Linked DNA regions of Arabidopsis thaliana. The protein of the gene in region 3 interacts with the protein of the main gene of each other region in a pairwise test. Each region holds a gene or a part of one and is shown on either strand. Other genes may lie near its edges.

The links. The genes of interacting proteins can lie anywhere in the genome.
Region 1: the proteins of IAA13 (region 3) and NPH4 interact in a two-hybrid assay, tested with the Arabidopsis thaliana proteins (3 studies listed by BioGRID).
Region 2: the proteins of IAA13 (region 3) and ARF8 interact in a two-hybrid assay, tested with the Arabidopsis thaliana proteins (3 studies listed by BioGRID).

Annotation. Positions count from the first base shown.
Region 1 is NC_003076.8:7,016,075-7,024,104, forward strand, and holds NPH4 (Transcriptional factor B3 family protein / auxin-responsive factor AUX/IAA-like protein), read right to left. Parts: upstream 6,040-8,030; 5' UTR 5,431-6,039; coding exon 5,385-5,430; intron 5,065-5,384; coding exon 4,952-5,064; intron 4,852-4,951; coding exon 4,756-4,851; intron 4,652-4,755; coding exon 4,595-4,651; intron 4,507-4,594; coding exon 4,351-4,506; intron 4,264-4,350; coding exon 4,179-4,263; intron 4,088-4,178; coding exon 3,997-4,087; intron 3,915-3,996; coding exon 3,747-3,914; intron 3,656-3,746; coding exon 3,460-3,655; intron 3,362-3,459; coding exon 3,223-3,361; intron 3,146-3,222; coding exon 1,167-3,145; intron 1,089-1,166; coding exon 898-1,088; intron 811-897; coding exon 630-810; 3' UTR 396-629; downstream 1-395. Other genes in the region: CPN20 (chaperonin 20), read left to right, coding at 107-280. UniProt on the Arabidopsis thaliana protein: Auxin response factors (ARFs) are transcriptional factors that bind specifically to the DNA sequence 5'-TGTCTC-3' found in the auxin-responsive promoter elements (AuxREs).
Region 2 is NC_003076.8:14,627,885-14,634,993, reverse strand, and holds ARF8 (auxin response factor 8), read right to left. Parts: upstream 5,542-7,109; 5' UTR 4,844-5,541; coding exon 4,801-4,843; intron 4,717-4,800; coding exon 4,607-4,716; intron 4,518-4,606; coding exon 4,419-4,517; exon of another isoform or gene 4,313-4,418; coding exon 4,256-4,312; intron 4,180-4,255; coding exon 4,024-4,179; intron 3,931-4,023; coding exon 3,846-3,930; intron 3,565-3,845; coding exon 3,474-3,564; intron 3,403-3,473; coding exon 3,238-3,402; intron 3,154-3,237; coding exon 3,031-3,153; intron 2,919-3,030; coding exon 2,843-2,918; intron 2,715-2,842; coding exon 2,567-2,714; intron 2,335-2,566; coding exon 1,361-2,334; intron 1,273-1,360; coding exon 1,082-1,272; coding exon of another isoform or gene 1,078-1,081; intron 1,006-1,077; coding exon 888-1,005; 3' UTR 540-887; downstream 1-539. Other genes in the region: AT5G37030 (P-loop containing nucleoside triphosphate hydrolases superfamily protein), read left to right, coding at 1-380. UniProt on the Arabidopsis thaliana protein: Auxin response factors (ARFs) are transcriptional factors that bind specifically to the DNA sequence 5'-TGTCTC-3' found in the auxin-responsive promoter elements (AuxREs). Seems to act as transcriptional activator.
Region 3 is NC_003071.7:14,113,754-14,117,930, forward strand, and holds IAA13 (auxin-induced protein 13), read right to left. Parts: upstream 2,217-4,177; 5' UTR 2,005-2,216; coding exon 1,784-2,004; intron 1,514-1,783; coding exon 1,103-1,513; intron 1,019-1,102; coding exon 957-1,018; intron 866-956; coding exon 816-865; 3' UTR 528-815; downstream 1-527. Other genes in the region: AT2G33300 (Transcription elongation factor (TFIIS) family protein), read left to right, coding at 1-207. UniProt on the Arabidopsis thaliana protein: Aux/IAA proteins are short-lived transcriptional factors that function as repressors of early auxin response genes at low auxin concentrations.

The DNA.
Region 1 (8,030 bases), on a different chromosome or scaffold from region 3:
TATCATGTCCATTCGGGGAATCTGATACTTTCTTAGTAGCTTGATGTGATAGTCAGTTCATACACAAGTTCCAATTATACATATTCTCCTCTTCATTTTATGGCAGGTGATAGCAGTTGGACCGGGTTCCCTAGACGAGGAAGGTAAAATTACGCCTCTACCAGTATCAACCGGAAGCACAGTACTTTACTCCAAGTATGCTGGTAACGACTTCAAGGGCAAAGATGGTTCCAACTACATTGCCCTCAGAGCTTCAGATGTGATGGCTATACTTTCTTAGTTATGTTATATCTTTGTAATCTGCAACTTGTATCCCAATTGTGGAAATTTTTTCCGTAAACGGCCTGAGCATAATCTGGAATAAAGACTTGAGTTTGAAAATGTGATTTTATTGCTGATTTCATGTTTTTCCTTCTCTTTTTGGTTACAAGCGGTTTCAGTTGATCAGTTAAACTTGGTAGAAACAGTGACTCACAGCAAATAAAATCTCCGTGTAAACTTAGTGGAAGATATTTTACAGGTAAATGCTCTACAGTGCCCAGTGGAAACTTGAGACATGTTATCAACGAGAAGTTATATTACAAAACGAAGAAAAAAGAATCTTTGTCTGTGAGAGAACTCTTCTGCCATCACCGGTTAAACGAAGTGGCTGAGTTATCATCATAATGACCTCTCCAAGCATTGCCACTGTCACCGCCACTACAAGCTTGATTAGTAACTGGTACACCGGCAAAGTTCCCGTCTAAGCTCATCTGCTGAACCTCAGCTGATGAAAGGATCTTAATGCTCTGAACACAGTTTACGAATTCTCTGCAAAAATCACGATTTTAAAGGTTAGCAAAAAAATAATGGAACTTCTAACAGTCTGATGTGTGAATGTAATTGCTCTCTACTTACTCCCATGGATCATCGCCGACGAGGAGGATGTCATTTTCATGATCGACATAAACAAGTTTCCAGTCAGATGTTTGAGGATCTTCGAGCTGTCCTTCGATCCCAAACATGCGCGCTAGATCATGCCTCAGCTCATCGTAACCTCTGTAACGGTTGACGTCTATTGATCTCCCCACTGAGCCTCGTTTTTGCACCTGTAGGAAAATTTAACATTTGTCAAACCGAAAACATAACCCAAATATCAACAAGCATAGATCAGAGCACAATCGAACCTTTGTATAAGTTCGCATTCGCTGAGTCTGAGCTGGCCACAATCCACCACCAAGAACTCCAGCATCGTTGACAGCTAGATCGTTCGAAATGGCGGGCACATTGGGGACACCAAAAGATTGAGTTCTTACAGCTGAAGTAGACATCTCTGTACCAATGTCATTTGTCACTCCTCCATAGTTTGAAAGCATGTTCTGAAGATCTTTCTGGGAGTCATATCCCCTCGAGAGTAGCGTGTCAGGCACAAAGCCATTATCAACATTAGCTCCACCGAGCAAGCTGTTCCTGGAATCACCGTCAAGGCCAAAAGTTGGAGCCAAGAAATTTTGTTGTCTGTTGTTTTCGCCTCCATCTAAACCGTAAGAAGTTCCAGAGGCAGATGCTTCTAGTTGATGATCTGTTAAACTAGCTTTGGACTTTTGCTGACCCACGAGTTCTTGTTTTAGCCGCATATCGGATTTGCTGTAAAGATCCTGAACAAGATTACCAGACATATCAATCGCTGCATCAGGTATCAAGATCGCTGGCCCGCTTTGGCTTCTGTTGAGAAAGCCTGAAGAAGAGATCTGACAGTTGTTGGTGGAAGGCGACGTTGAAGAGGAAGGTGCATCTCCTCCATCTGTGATGCCTGAATAAGCTTTGACCCCTCCCCCAACCGGTGGGTTTTGTTTTTCCTGAGGTCGGCTCACCAGCATTTGAGGTGGTTGCAACGTCGATAAGCCATTGTTAGTGCAAGATGACGGAAACTGATGACCTTGAGAGAGAGTAGGCAGCTGTTGCAACTGCTGGCTTTGCAATTGATGGTGTGGTAACTGAGACTGCGGCGAAAGAAATTGCTGCTGCTGTTGCTGTTGTAATCTCTGTAACAGCTGAAACTGTATATGCGGCTGTTCCAAGAGACTCTGCTGGAATATCTGTTGGGCCTGTGCCTGGTGAGCTTTCTGCTGCAAAAGTGTTTGCTGATTCTGCCCGTTGAGACCAGGAGGCTGCTGCTGTTCTACTTGTCGTGAAAACTGTGTCTCTTGCGGCGGTGCGGACATCAGATTGGATGAAGACTTGCTGGTTTCAATTACACTACTCTGGCTAGTGCTAGCACCTAAATGGTGATGTGCTTGTTGAAGTTGCTTAGACTGTTGTTGTTGCTGTTGAAAGCTTTGATTAAGGGAGCTGGACGGAGGCGTGATGACACTGCTTGCCATTGATCCCGAAACTAATTGTGGTTGCAAATGATGTGTAGATGCTTGTTGCGACTGATGCTGCTGCGCTGCTTGTTGACCATTGTAAAGCTGATTCTGTGGAACCTGAAGTTGCTGCAACTTATGTTGTTGTAACTGTTGTGGCTGTGGATGCGAGTGAGATTGCAATGGCTGTGTTCTTAGCTGCTGCTGCTGAGTCTGTTGCTGTAACGGTTGTTGATGTTGTTGCTGCAGTTGTTGTTGTTGTTGCTGCTGGAGCAATTGTTGTTGTTGCTGAGACTGCGATTGATTGTTGTTGCTGTGTTGTTGAGACTGCAATTGTTGTTGCTGCTGCAGCAACTGTTGTTGTTGTTGCTGTTGTTGAGACTGCGATTGCTGTTGTTGATGGTTCAAAGAGGAGTGCAACAATTGCTGCAGCTGCTGTTGTTGGGACAACGTAGTTGGTGGCTGAGGCAACTGAGACATTGGGGCTTGCTGATTCTGTTTGTTAAATTGGAGATTTGAGGAGGAAATCCCCCCGTGCGGCGTCTGAAAGCTCAGTAACTTGGAGGGATCATCAGTGCCGCCAAGATTGTTGTGCAGCGCCGCGGTTGGCGAAAGCATTGATGGGAAGAAACCTGGCTGTGCAGCAGCAGAGGGTAGCTGGCCGTTCTGCTGCTGCATATTCATCCACTGAACTAAACTCAGACCAGGAAAGATAGTACTCGAAGGGTCTTTCATCTCTAAGCTATTATCAAGCCATGGCATTGCTCTCTTCAGTGCAGACTCCATGTCAGTCTCATCATCTGCAAGAGCACCGGAAATTCCGTCCTTGAGGAGATTCAAAGAAGTTGTGTCGAAATGAAATGGTACAAAAATTTACCTGGCATTCCAGGTTGTCCAGAAAAGCGAGGTCGGAAAAATGGAGGAGGACATATGTAGAAAGGAGTTAAAACCGGTTCAATGTCCCAAACTGAAACTCGACTGGGCCTATCACCAGCAGCTGACTCATCCCATCCAATCTTTAGCAGAAACAGAAACAAAGCATAACTAAAATGAATGGTGCAATGTATCAAGAAAGACAAATCTGACATTCATCATGAGTTTTACTTCAAACTACCTGAAGATTCCGCCACTGAGAGTTTTTCCATCTCACTGGATCAAGATCACTGATACCGGTAACTGTACCCATATACCGACGAACTCCACATTCTTCAGTCTCAAATATCATTCTAAACCGCATACCGAGGGAAACTTGAGCGTACATCGCTTTGGTATACTTGGCTAAAGGAACCACAAACTCAGCAGGAGCAGCCCTGAAAAAACTCGGTTGTAAATCTCTCAGCAATTGCCATGAAACAAGCATATATAGTAAGGTTAACGTAGACAAAAGGAAACATAGATCGCCACCTCGGGTTGTAGAAAATGGTGAAAGGACTGTTATTAGCATTAGCATGAGCTGCAGCTGCAAGAACTCCGATGTGCATGCTATCACTTGATATTACAGATGAAGAAAGTGCAGGCTGTTGTCTATTTGCACGTCTTATCCCCAACAGAAGTTGCGCCTTTCCATCTCTTAATTGAAAGAAAAAAAGAATTAGCATCTTGACAAAAAAAAATACCGAAAGAGAGCATTGGCACATTGAGATTGATATACCTTATAAAAAGAACAGAGTCTCCAGCAAAGAGCCTTTTCGTGCTGACAAACACACTCCAGCCTGTAGTTAGCAAGTGCCTTTTTGGTTGACCTGATAAATGTCAACATATCCAAAACGTAAGAACAATTCTACGAAAGCCAAATTGATTAAAGAAGGTAATCTACCAAAAACAAGGTAAAACCTCGATAAATATGTCTGAAAGTCCATGTGTTGTCATGAATATCCTTAGCAACAAGCTCCTGACAAGGTGGTTGCATCGAGAAATCCTAGTAAAATATTGCCAACAATGTAAGAAACTAAGGCAATACAGAGATACTAACTATCAGATGTATAAGAAAGTATTGTATATACACCAGAGCAGGAAAGATTTTCTCAGCAGCTCGTCGGGGTACAGAAAATCCACCGTGAGTACTTGTGTCACTCGCCGTGAGGGTTTTGCAGAAAAATTCATTAGGTTGTCTGTTTAGCTTAAGACCCATGTCAGAAGCAAGCAATGCATCTCTGTCATACTGTTCAACAAAATGCTCAGAGCAATTAGTCCCTCCCTACTCCTTAAATACACCTATAAATCGAGTTATTCAGTGAAAGGTAAGCTACTTTGTTTACTGGCTGAAGAGTCATCTGCGCATAGACCTCATCCGTCTCAGGATCAGCCTGGTTCACAGTCGACAATTAGCAAAACATTAGCAACTCAAAAGCAAAAAATGTTAAAACAACTAGCCTAAGAGGCCATTATAGATATTTAAAAGATACCATACATTCAGTGTAACATTGTGGAGCATGCATATGAGCTTGGAAGGAAGATTCGGGTAACTTGGTATGAAATCAGTCTGCTTCTGCATTGAAGCCGCGACCTAAGAAACAGAAAAATAAATAGCAACCACATGAAATTTCCAATCAGCGACTCATTCTTGATCAGCCGCGAATGATACCAAACTTTATTGAACAACATACTTGCTCACTGTGACCTTGAGGGAAGTAAACAACAAGACTTCCTGCTGGAGGCAACGAAATCAATGGCCCAGCACAAGCGTGCCATAGCTCTGAGTTTATATTTCTCCTTTCTCCTGCATTCACACAACATCAAAGCTGTGATTACTTAAAATCTCTAGGATCTTCATTCAGTTACTATTATCAAACCAACAAGATAGGAGAGAACTGCTCTAAACCAACTAAAAGCCACAGTCTTTATAAACCAATACAATAGTAACTTAGCTTACTCTCTAAGCAGAAAATGACCGAAACCAATTCAATTCAGGTTCTCAAATCCAGCAATTCTGAAGAAATGTGTGACCTCTTCTACTTAAAACTTGAATCTATTCAAATCCAGCAATGAATTTCTTCTACTAAAGGATTGACATTTATCAGATACGAGAAACACACAAACCTTCAACAGGATTAGGAGAAACTCCATTTGATGAAGGAGCTTTCATGATCACTCAACTTTACTTTCTCTGAAGAATAAACCCAATAAATAATCTGAATCTGAGCTTATACAAAGCTAAGCTCTTTGCGTGAGAGCTTCATCAAAAGCCCTAAACTTTCACTCAAGTTGTTAATAGCTTCCTAGCTCAAGTAACAGCAGAGAGAATCGTTAATCAGAAATGGGGAACTCCAAGATCTCAGCTTTTTATCTCCGACAGAGCCGCCAATTTCTCGGAAATTTTAAGTATCTCAAAGAGATCAAAAACCACGACTTTTCACACGCGGAATCTCCGGAGAGACAAACAAAGCATACGACCTTAAAAAAGATTCCGTTTTTAACGAAGCTCTTTATCTCGAGTCAGATAATTCAAAAACACCCACAAAGTTACTTGATTCAGCTGCTCTTCTTTGTTTTGCTTTCCTTTCTTGGGGGGAATCAAATCAAAGAGACGGGTTTCTATAAAAAGAAATCTGGAAAATGAATCGAAAGAGAAAAACAAAACTTAAGGATGACCAAGGACAATCGAAGATTAAGACTCAAACGTGAGAGAAAGAGCAACAGAGTTGTCGGAAAGGGATGATCAGCGACCAGGACAACTACCAAAAGGTCTGCTAAAGCACAGGAACAGCTTTTTCTTCTTCCTCTCCTTTTTTTTTCCTTCTCTTTTCTTTTTCCGATATTTTTATTTTTTTATACCTATTTAGTTATGCTCATGAAGCCGACATATTCACTAGCAAACTGGCCACGATTTAATTTCTTAATGTTATTATTGTCCTCTAAAATTTTAACTTTGACACACAAAAAAACAACTTTATTAGTGTTTTCTTTTTCCTTATCTCTGATAATTTGATAAGTTTTTTTCATTAAGGTTATTATTACTGTATCATTTATTGTAATACTTGATTAGGGATAACATAGATTTATAGGGGATGTATTGAAAAAAACAAACTAAGCTGACTAGCTAGTTATTTGATCAAAGTGCGTACATATATGTTTGGCAATTTCTTTTGTAGTTAACTATATTTAATTCAGATAGATTTTAGGATTCATAATTCATCAAAAAATTTTATGATTTTCATTATTTTGAACAAAAGCATTTTACTAGAAATTTTGTGGAGTTTTACATGGTTGGTTCTGAGTTTCATAAACTAGCGTTCATGTTTTAAACGAGAATGGAACTTAAATGTTTAGTAATGAGTTCTATAATAACAAACAAATCTAAATTCGCTTAGATCATCATTATAAACAATTGATCTTATTTTGTTGTAAATGTTGATTAATTGATCAAATCTAAGTACATACAGCATATGCGATCACAAAGAACAATATTTTAACGGACGATTTCATATCAAAAATGATAGAAGTTCTCTCTTTGTTCATGATTCTTTATTGGTTTCTTATATTAATTAACCTAAACTTTTGTCTTTTGGAAGAAGTGTTATAATGTCACACAAAATAAAATTACATATGATGATCACAACTTACACTCTTTTCCCAGTACAGCCATCATTCAAAATTTTCCTCTATAATCGTTAAAATGTCTACCCAAAAAAAAACGGTGATATATATTCCTAAACATATTGGAAAACCGAATATAACCATAAATATGTCATTGTACAAACTACAATCTATTTGGTTTAAGGCCACATAACAAGTTTTATCTACCAAAGACTGAACCTCCATATTCATCACAGACCATTGTAAAATGCATGTAAACCCTTTGAATGACCCCACATCAAAAAAGAAAGTTACAAAACAGTAACCTCTTTGTTAGTTTAGGTTCGATCCAAAACTTATTTGGCAGGAATGCTTAAAATTCTATATACTTACAACTTTAAGTGAAGGTAATATATATGTATGGAATGAATGGATGTCAATTCAAATAAGTGGCAGTGAGTAGCGACATGATGTCCCTGAGCAATAAATGCGTGAAGACAGAAGTTTGGAGATTGGATGAATGTAAGAAGGCCTTTTGAAGTTATGGATTTCGACGCCTAGCTTTTTTTTTTCTTTTTTTTTTGTGAAACTTTGAGGCCTAGCTAACGTTTAAAAAAAGAAAAAGAAAAATGTTAATAGTTTTCTTATTACAAAGTGACCGAAATTTAGTATGAACTCCGAACTACGACTTCATGCATGTATTAAAGTTGGAATGAAAGGAAGAAGAGCGTGACGCATTTCAGAACCGGTTGTGTGTCCGTATGGTGTCCGCAGTGGAAAGTGGAAAATGAACAAGATGAATAACTCATATACTGTCCTAAAGATATTTCCAGAATCACATCAACGTATTTTAGCCGATTTAATGAATTCGACAGTTGGTGTTGACAATATATGTAAATGTAACCACAAAATACACCACTTGAGTTGGATGAATTATCAGAGAGAGACGAGGAAGTTTCGTTACGATTCCATGATTTTCTCGACTTTACTATGTCATTCTGATATGCATTATTTGTTAATTTGTATGTAAGAGAGAGTTGTGGAAAATAATCTACGTACTGATTAATTTTTTGCGTTTTAAGTGATTTTAGATTTCCGCTAAACATAAACTTTTCTAGCATAATTTTTGTAAAACGCTAAACATAATTTTTTAACATAAATTTTGTAAAA
Region 2 (7,109 bases), on a different chromosome or scaffold from region 3:
TGATTACTCCTTACAAAGGACAAGTTAGAGCAATCCAAGAGAGAATCAGAGATAAGTACAGTTCCTTATCAGGTGAGCTTTTCACTGTGAATGTTCGGTCTGTAGATGGGTTTCAAGGTGGTGAAGAAGACATTATCATCATCTCTACCGTTAGAAGTAATAGTAACGGGAAGGTTGGATTTCTCAGTAACCGTCAAAGAGCCAATGTGGCACTCACTCGAGCTAGGCACTGTTTATGGGTGATTGGAAATGAGTCAACACTGGCTCGGAGTGGTTCGATTTGGGCAAACCTTATAAGTGACTCGAAGAGACGTAAATGCTTCTATGATGCTAAAGATGATAAGAGATTGAGAGATGCCATGAATGCTGTCCAAGGTTGATAAGTCTGATGTGTGTGCACGTTTAAGTACTCTTTGGGTCAAAAAGAAAGGGAGAAAATGAGTTGTTGGTACTTCATCTATGTCATTCTTCAACCTAAGTTACTAGTAGAAGCTTTTGGTAACATTTTGTGATTAATGGTTGTGTTTTAAAGATTTGGTTGGTTTTGGTTTCACACCTTATGGAATCTAATTGGTCTGACCAAACTGAATGTCTAACAATGTTGTTACAAAAATAGAATAAGAATAAATACTAGAAAAGTTTAGTTACCCTGAGACAGCTACATAAAGGTTCTTATGTTTATGACGAGAGTGTCTGTCTAATACAAGCTAAAGTACGTCCTAAAGTTTCAGGACCCATACTCACAAATATGATTATGTTTCTTTCTAAAAACGTCAAAACGAGAGAGATGCGAACGAATGGCATATAAAGATGAGTGGAAACGACTTCAAATGGGAAACAAAGGGCTCCCGCGTTGTAGCATGATGAGACTAACACCGAAGCAGCTTCTAGAGATGGGTCGGGTTTTGCGGGAATAACCCACCACTGCCTTCTCCATGATCTCCCATTTGATGCACATCTTCTGGTGATAGTATCTTTATGTACCAAACGTTATTCACAAATGACCTGCAGAACAAGCTTTTAAAGATCTATCTCAAATCTAAAGCAATGTATACAAATAGAAGAAGAGTACTTTACTTACTCCCATGGGTCATCACCAAGGAGAAGAATATCATTTTCCTTGTCAACGAATACAAGCTGCCAGCCTGATCTAAGGGGGTCTTCCAACAACCCTTCGATAGCAAACATCTTCCCTAACTCTTCTCGCAGCTCGTGGTAGCTGCTGAATCGGGAGATGTCTAATGAACGCCCAACCGAACCAGATTTATAAACCTGCAGTTTTGGATTTGTAAGCATATCAGTATTTTCTTAGAGACAGTAGAGCCACAGAGAAGTCGGTGAGCCTAGAACAAACCAGCACCTTTACAAAGTTCTTGGTTTGGTTGGACGAGTTAATCTGTCCAGCTCCATGCAATAACTCATGAGTTGTGTCTTGCATGCAGCTATATAAGGAATTCTGAAATCCTGAATCTGTTAGTGACATAGGGGAAGCTTCAGCATCTCCTGATGAAGAAGCAAAGCGGGGAACCGTACTGGGGAGGAAGAGTCCAGAGTCGGGATCAACACCGAAAAGAGAGGGATTCTGCGGATTTCCGGGTTCTAGAGCAAGACTCTTCCCAGGATAGGCTTGTGGAAGTGACAACGGTTCAGAAAAAGTGTTGGATGCTTTTGGAGACCAGCCCTCTGTTGTTAACTGCTCAGGGAGTACAGACTGACCGGTTATAGAAAAATTCAAAAGATTGCCATCTCCAGAAGCCGGACTAGCAGTTGTTGCAAATTTGTTGCTTGAGTCAGTAAAATCTGACTTCATGAACGAGGGAGATGGCATCTCTGATTGCTGCTGCCACTGTTGAAGATGGCCATTTTGCATTTTGAAAGCATTAAGATATGCATTTTGGTCCGGTTGCTGTAGCTGTTGCTGCTGTCCAGCTGGTTGGTTACTAACTTCTTGTCGCATATTCTGCTGCGGAAGATTCTCACTCATAATCTGTGTTTGAGCATGCATGAGATGGCGTGACGCTTGTTGCTGCTGTTGCTGCTGAAGCATCAAATCAGAATTATGGGAAGCTGATTGTTGAAGATATTGGTGGTGAGGCTCTTGCAGCTGTACAAACTGCTGTCTTAAAGGATCTCCACCGCCGATGTTCTGCAACCCAGCAGCTAACATTGCTTGGTATTGCTGATTATTATCAGTCCCCATTTGACTGAGATCCAGCCTTTGTTGCATCCATGGAAACAAACCAACAGATGGATAATTTAGAGGAAGCAAACCTTGCTGCTCTCCACCTCCCCCTCTTAGCCATGTTAGACCACTTCCCAAATCACCCCTTCCATCTGTAACATCATAATGTTTTGAGTAAATAGCTATGGAGAGTACCTACACACTTCTTTGTAAATAAATTATAACAGTAAGACCCTCTTCAGAGCTCTACTCAATCGAACATTTGTTATTTATCCGAAGTAGCAACTAAGTTACAATAGCAGAAACACTGAGTGACAGTAAGAGACTTCACGAACGTACTATACTAGTTAATAACAGTTAGGAGAAGAGCCAAAAGGTGGATACCAGGCAAAGATGATGTGCCAGCATGCCATGGACGTTTTAGTCTGAGAGGAAAAAGAGATGGATACATAGGAAAGGTAGTCAGAGGCTCAATCTCCCATAAAGAAACCCTTGGCTGTCTCTCCCCTGCAGTCGATTCATCCCAACCAACCTACACCAATAATGCCACAGTTCATCAATGTTGATGGAATTTCAGAGTAATATTGGACTAAATCATCAGAAAGCTGTGTGACGTTCCATGGAATTTAAATAAGGTAACAGGCTTAATAGTGTTGTTACCTTCACAGATCGCCAATGAGAGTTTGGCCAACGAACAGAATCTAGATCACTAATACCAGTTATAGTACCCATGTACCTGGAAAGTTCCCCATGCCACTGTCAGAAAACATGTTAAAGTAATATGTGTAACATAATGATATAGTTTTCTCAGTTTCAAGATTGCATTTCCAGATATGTGGCATCATCACCTGCGGACACTCGACTCTTCTGTCTCGAAGAGCATGCGAAAGCGCATCCCAACTGAAATACGCGTGTGAAAAACGGCTTTAATGTACTTGGAAAGTTGTATCACAAACTCAGATTGGCTAGCCCTGAACATGAAGAGAATATTAGTAGGATATATTATCGGATATACCGAGAGATGAAAAAGATGCAGGTGGGAGAGATTTTTCAACCTTGGATGAAAGAAAACAGTGAAACAGCTATTAGTTGCAGAAGCATGTGCAGCAGCAGCAAGGAGTCCAATATGCATGCTATCACTAGATAAAACAGATGATGGTACAATAGTCTGCGGCCGAGTGGCATGACGAATTCCCAAAAAGAGTTGATTCTTTTCATTCCTGGAAACAAGTAATAGTGTTACAAATATAATCACAATCCACAAACTGAACGTACAACAAAAGAACTAAACCTGATGAAAATGACAGAATCTCCAGCTACTAGTCGCTTGGCACTGACAAAGACACTCCATCCAGTAGTTAGGAGATGCCGTTTGGGCTGTCCTGCATAATCACACCAAAACCATGTAAGTTATTCCTAACAAACCAAGAAGAAGGATTCAAATCAACTTAACTTCATATGAACAAGTAAATAATTCCACGTTATAATAGACAACGACAAGAACACAGAGCCTCCGTGGTTTCTTCAACTAAACCACACATGAGTAGTGAAAATAACAGCAGATGCTGCTTCAGACATACTTAACAGCCAATTGAAATTTTTACACTGGCGACTACAGTTAAAAAGGGATCATCAACGCACACCGAGGAAAGGTGAAACCTACCCCGAAAGATATGCCTAAACTTCCATTCAACATCATGGAGATCCCTTGCAATCAGTTCTTGAGCTGGTGGCTGCAGTGTGTAATCCTGCAACAGGGAAGACACAAGATATTAAAAGGAATACATATATTTTCTCAACAACAATTTATAGCAAAGTAAGTAAAAGAAAAAGTATAATACCAATGGAGGAAACACTTTCTCAGCAGCACGTCTAGGAACAGAAAACCCTCCATGTGTACTGGTATCACTAGCTGTGAGAGTCTTACAAAAATAATTACTAGGTTGCTTACTCGGTATCCCCAACTCAATCGGTACAAATGTTTCCTTCTGCTCCTCCTATAAACAACACCAATCCTAAAGCTTAAGTTATTAATTCACAGACTCAAAAACCTGTTATGTATAATGTATCTACCGGTGTCAATGGTTGAAGTGTCATTTGAGCATAGACTTCATCCGTCTCAACATCTGCCTGAAATAGTAGAAACGAAACCCATACTTACAAAGCACATCATCCCAAAACTAGTTTACAAAAGTAAAAATTGAATATGGAAAGGGACAGGGAACTAACTACGCACATGCATTGTAACATTATGGAGCTGGCATATCAATTGTGGTGGTAGGCTTGGGTAATTGGGTATGTGACCATCAACTTCCTTATTAGTTGTAGCAGCTACCTACAAGTACACTTCTATTTAAATGGAAATGCCCAAATATAACACAAGTCTAAAAATAAAGCTCCATACTTTTAAACAACAACCCAAACCTGTTCACTGTGACCCTGTGGAAAGTAAACAACTCGACTACCAGATGATGGAAGAGAGACTAATGGTCCAGCACAAGCATGCCATAGCTCAGAATTCAGACACTTCTCTCCTGTTAGAACAAACACAGACACAAGAACTAAGAAAACACTTGTCCAGAAACAGAACTAAGAAAATCAGAGAGTAAACAAGTCACCTTCATGACCCTGTTGACCCAATCCAGATGTTGACAGCTTCATGTCTAATTCAACTTCAAGAAACCAAACTTTGAAAACCCTAATTTTTCCGTACAATCTATTAAAAAATCTTCTTCACTTCCAGCTACTACAGTAGCTATAACTCTTTAGCTCCGGAAGTACAAACTCGTCTTTCTCCATCTCCTTTGTTCAAACCCCCAAAAATCTCACTCACAACCATAAGACTCAGTGAAAGCTTCGAATCAAAAAACCATCCATAAAACCCTTAAACACAAGAAACAGAACAAACCCCATTTCTTCAAAACCAGAATCTGTTTCTTCTCATCATCAAACCATGAACAACAACACAAGCTCTCTACTACAAGTACGCATTGAAGCAACCCCAACAGAAAAAAAAAAACTCTTGTCTTTGAGATCTTTGTGGATGAAAAAATGAAAGAAACAAGACAAAAGAACAAATCTTTCTTCTTCAACAACTTGACTTCTCTCGTGGGTAAAAAATTAAATCTCTTGAAGCAGTTCCATCACTGTCCAAGAGAGACACTTTGGCTTTCAAAAACAGAAGAGAGAGAGAGAAAGAAATGGTTAGTGAGAGAAAAAGATATGTGTCAGAGAGAGAAAAGAAGAGTGCGTGGGGGTGAAAGAGAGAGAGAAAAGAAGAAGAAAGTGAGTAAGTGGTTTTCCTCCTCTTATAAGAGACCCGACCCGACTCCACCCGACCCGGATTTGACCCGGATCCGATACAGTGGAGAGAAGGAAGAAGAAGAGAGGTCCTACTAACGAGAATTATGAGAGGTGGTGTCAGTACCAGAGTCACTTCTTTTTGACCGTTGGATTTGACTCTTGAGATCTTGATCGTTGAAAAATAATAATTGTTTTTTTTGAGGTCTTGGATTCGATGAAAAGGACAATGAATTATAGTATTTGAAGTGAGAGAGTGAGAGAGAGATAATAGAGTTGTCATAAATGTTAGCGTTGTTTATTTTAAATACTTTTTATTTTTGCTCCATTCATTGATGAAAGAAACACCAAATACTCCCATAATTTGATTTATTTAAAGATAATTTATAGTAGTATTTAATTTAATAACTCAAAAAATATTTTGTTGGATCTTTTATGAGTTCGTTGAAAAAATGGTCAAAGGTTTATCTATTGATAAGTGATGTATTATTAGATTCGCAAATCTAAGTTCTAATTTAGAAACAATCATTAGCAAATAGATGCCCGATAATCCAACATCTTATGGATACCACTATTTTACTTACCAAAAGAGAAAACTAATACACATGGATCTTGTTTGAATAATTTTTAAAAAATTTGGGATATGGAGTGTATCACTTGGAGAAGCTGGATTTGGAATAATCTTTGCAAGTTAAGACCCTTAACTAGGTTTTTCATCGTTTGTGAAATTGGTTCAGAAATAACTTGTAATTTCTGGACTGATAATTGGATTTTTTTGGGACCATATTTGTCGAGCTAACCTGAAGATTTATGACTAAGAATTTCTCTTCTCCCTCGTTCTGTTGTGGTTGCGGATGCATTGAGAAAGAGACAATAGTGGCTTACAAATTCTCGAAGTCGCAGTCCCATTATTCAGTTGCTTAAAGAATGTCTTCCTTCCTATTCTACTGTTAACTTACAAGAGGATGTAGAGGATGATGTTTACCTTTGGAAGGTGATGATATCCATGCATCAAATATTTTCTCTGCTGCTAAAACTTAGGCACATTAATATTCAAAAAAAAACTTATGCACATCTTCATCCTCCTGACACAAAGATGGATCGGTTTGAATCTGTGTGATTTCCAGGAAGGATTCTTAAGCATGCTTTCATTGCTTGGCTAAAGTCTCATCATAGACTTCTCACTAGAGACAAAATGATTCGATGGGGCATGACTACTCCTTCGTCGTGTCTTCTCTGTAATTTGATGGATGAATCTCGCTAACATTTATTCTTCGACTGCTCTTATGTTGCAAAGGTATGACACTATTTCTATGATAAAGCCCATCTTTCTCCTCTAAATCAATTTGAGGATGAAGTTAGATGGTTGAAGAATCCTTGTCGTGACAAGAAAACTACTTTGATTCTTCGAATTGCCTATCAAGCCTCACTGTACTCCATATGGAAAAAAGCGCAATGCAAGATTGCATAATTCATCCTCAAAGCCAGCCTCAGTTCTCATTATTTATCATTAACATTCTTCAATGTCATCTAGACCCTTGTTGGATAGCTCAACGGATCATTCATCTGGTTTGGTGTCTTTCAATAAATTTATTGTAATACTTTTGTTATCTCATTTATTTCGATT
Region 3 (4,177 bases):
TCAATGTGCGTAGATACCCTCGCTTTGCTCTTGGAGTTCCCCATCAGCGCAAGAGCTATGGAAACAAGGAAGCTCATGGTTAGGCTAGAGAATCTTACAAAACACAAGAACCGAAAAATATGCAATTCTGTTTCAAAACTTCTTCAATGTTGGAGGCAGAGTATCAGAGATCAACAACTCAGAGAGTCCCGTAAAACTCAAGGCTAAATGTCACTAGGGAATTTAAAAGCTTATGACTTGAAAACGTTGGTTGCTTGCTTATTCTTTTGCTTAAAGTAGAGTATTGTAGTCACTGCTTCAATTACATTACTCAAAAGCTAACAGTGAGAGGAATATGTATGTATTAAGGATTTTCACAATCACTATTATAAGAAGTTTAACCTGTGTGAAACGTTTTGAGTTGTAAATACATTATGAGTTTTGTAATCTATTTGCTTTCTTGCCTTATGTTTCCGTAACCCCATTTGATCTGAGTAGTTATTTGTGGATATATTGGCATAGTTCTAAGATCATTAGAGTAGACTCATCAACAAAAACCCTTAAAAACGATATTAGATAAGCTTCAAATATTTACAGTGTAGTAAAAGATATAAAGAGCATTCTCTTCCATCCATAGTATATAGTGAAATCGCAACCGAAAATTAAAAGACAGCAAAAAAAAAAACTAAAGAAAACCAGTAAAAACCATTATAAGAACCAAGAAAATACACAAACTGGATATAAGATCAATCTAGCTTATGCTTGCTTCAGAAGTATCTCAGACTTGCAAAACCCCAAAATATAAAACCTGTAACACCGTAACGTCGAAAAGAGATCTAAACCGGCTGCTTTCGCTGTCTCTCGTTTGGTTCTTGATTTCGTGCAGCTGCATATATATTAACATGTTTTAGTAGAAATTTTTCATTGCGTCATCTTGAGAAACAAGAACAGGAATCAAGATGAGATTATCTACATACCGAGTCCATTAGCTTCAGAGGTTTTCATCACACGTAGCCTTTTCACCGAGTTGATGAACATTCTAAGATAATTCCAACAAAAAGACCATCAGAAACATTTATTGGAAGTGTAAGAGATAAATAAACAAGGTTTTTAGATCTATTACCTCCATGGAACATCACCAACAAGCATCCAATCTCCTTCCTTATCTTCATAAGTAAGTACAAACTCAGACGATCCATCTAAAAGCCTCAACGGTTTAGTGAACTGACTGGTTAACCCGACAGTACCCGGATTAGTGCGAAAGAACATATCTTCCAATGTTTGCGCCAAATTCTCGTAAGAAGAATGAGCATTCAAATCCACTTTTCTTCCTATAGCAACTCCATCCATGTTCACCTTAATAAATCCAACTTGTACTTTCCCATTCACTTTCTTTGTCACATCTTTAGGTTCATCATCTTTCACTTTCTTCTTACCAGCTTCTTCTTCTTCTCTTGCTGACTTTGTAGCTTGGTTATTAACCAAACTGTTCATCCTGTGTGACCCTATAGGAGGCCATCCAACAACTTGACTGCTACAAACAAAGCAAACATCAAGTCAGGACTTGTAATCTATCCAAATGAATCAAAACCAAGAACAGATTCAACTATTCAAGATTCCTAATTCCAAACCAGAGCATTTCTTCCGACATAACTCAGATCAAGTATACATCCAAACACTAAAGAATCTTTAAGAAACTCCTAAACGAACTATGTTCAGAGAATAGCAATTTCACATCATACAAAAGGAATTAAACATCTTAAAAGATCTTTCTTTGAAACCAAAAAGCTTGAAAAAGACGAACCTTGAACGAGGAGGAGATGAACCAGCATGAGAAGCAGAATCAGCAGCACGTTTAGAACCAACAGAAGGAAAATCCTTAGCCGTCAAAAGCCTTCCACGCTCTCCCCACGCGCCACCACCACCTGATTTACCAATCTTGGCCGCCGTTCCACCGCCAAGACTCAGCCCTAGACCAAGCTCAAGCTCACTCTCACCTTTCCCCATCTCAAGTTCAGTAATCATCAGAGAGACCACAACAACAACAACAAAAACCCACTAAAAGAAAGAGAGCCCTAGAATCCAAAATCAATCCAAAAGAAAGAAAGAGTCTTTTGAAAGTCAAGAAGGCAGAGAGAGCAAAAAAAAACAACCTGGGAAAGGAAGACAAAGAAAGAAAGAGAGAGAGAGAAGGAAACAAGAAAACAAACAAACAGAAAGAGACAGAGAGAGGATTTTAAGGGTTTCTTGAAATCTGAAAGAGAGTTTCAAGAATTGAGGAAGAAGAAAGAGAGAGAGGATTAGGTGGTGGAGAGAGTGATGAGAAGAGTAGGACCCATATGTCTGGTAGTGGCCATACCAACAACAATGCCATTCTTTCTTCTTCTCTTTTACCCTTTTTTTATTCCCTAATTTTATTATTAACAAAGAAATTCTTTTTAACTTTTCTTCCCGACATTATCAAACTTGTCGTGCTCCCGTTTACCTTATTGTTTTCTCCTGTGTTTATAAAAAAATATGATAAACAAAACAAACATATCTTATTAAACTATATTAAATATATAAACTGTTGTTTTTGTGTTATGTGTTTGTATTTGTGGAAAGCTTTGTTTTTGCATCACACTTTCTTTTCTATTTTTGCAAGAATTTGTATTCGTTTTGATGATTGCTATATTAGAGTTTATTTTGTATTCGTTGCGTTTGATCTTATCTGGTTAGCTATGCTTTATATCATGTTCATAGTAACAACTGTTAAATATGTGAAAACGTATAGCTAAGTACCAGTTTTGAAAAAAAGTTGAATTTGGGTTTAGTTTTGGGTCACTATATGCTCATTTATTTTCTTTTCTTTTTTTCGTGGAGGACTAGACTATGATGGGTTCCAAATAAAGTGAGAACAAAATTGGTTTTCATTATAAGGAATTATTAAATAAATAGTGGTGATGAGATTATTCATCATCATGTTTCTTGATGTGAGCTATGATGATCCTTTGAAAACTTTTTCAATCGCAATTGATGTGTGGAAAATTCTCTTTTGATCAAAATCATGACTAAATGAGAACATTGAATTTCATACTCTATTGATGGATTTGCTAGAAATACCAAACTTAGTTTCAAGAAATATGTTGAAATTTCACAGTATTAAGATACAGTAATATTTCACAACCAAAAAACAAGTACAAGTTTGTTCTCTTTATTTATTTAGAAACTCAGGACACCTGAACCTCTTCAGACTTCAAAGCGACTTATTCTCACAGTTCCAAGTACACTAACAGTTAGTCAATATCAAATAGTTGATTCTATGTTTTTCACGTTATCTACGTTTGTTCTAGAATTGCGTGTGATTTTTATACTCGTTTTTTCTTTTTCCCTTCTACTTATTTTGCATTTTTACTCACTTGTTAGTTTTTATTTTTTTCTTAGGCGCTACCTGTGTCGTTCCTTTATAGGACAAAAGGCACGAACATTGCTTTAACTATAAAGTCGATACCCAAGTGGGCTGTGGGGTTGTCTGTAAAGGTGAAATAAGAAAAATAAGTAGATTATACGAACAGTTATTTATTATCTATCATATAGTATTAATGAATGCTGTTTACAAATGTTTATGAATTAGAGAGAATTCGTAGGTTTTATAGTAACTTCGGTATATGATTTTTTAGTTTAAATAAGAAATTTATTAATGAGTAAAGTGAGGACTTATATACATATGCATAAGAGTAGTGATGCAAAAGAAAACGTAAACAGAGCAAAATAACAGCTTATCTCCGGAAAATAAAACTTAGGTCTAAATGCTCAAAAAGTGGTTTAAATTTGTATACTATTTAACACGATAACGAAAATTGTAGATGTGAGTTTTTCTCATTTACTATTCGTGTAAAGGAAAAGTTATACATTCTTTTCTTTTGTAAAGCTTTTTCAACGTCCTGAATTTTTTAATTGATCTAGTTCGTGTATATTTCAATGAATTAAAGTTATGTATGTAACGAATTACAATTGATCAAATATACCGTGAATTGTGTTTGTCTCTTGTGAACATGCAACAAGTTGAAGGTTAATATCATTTGGAATCATAAGGAAAAGACAAAAGCAGATTCATGATACATAACTTGTAATCAAATGGTTGAAGATAAATGATGGAGATGACTTCACGCTTGTAAATATATATTAATATATATATATATTGATAAAGTATAAACGT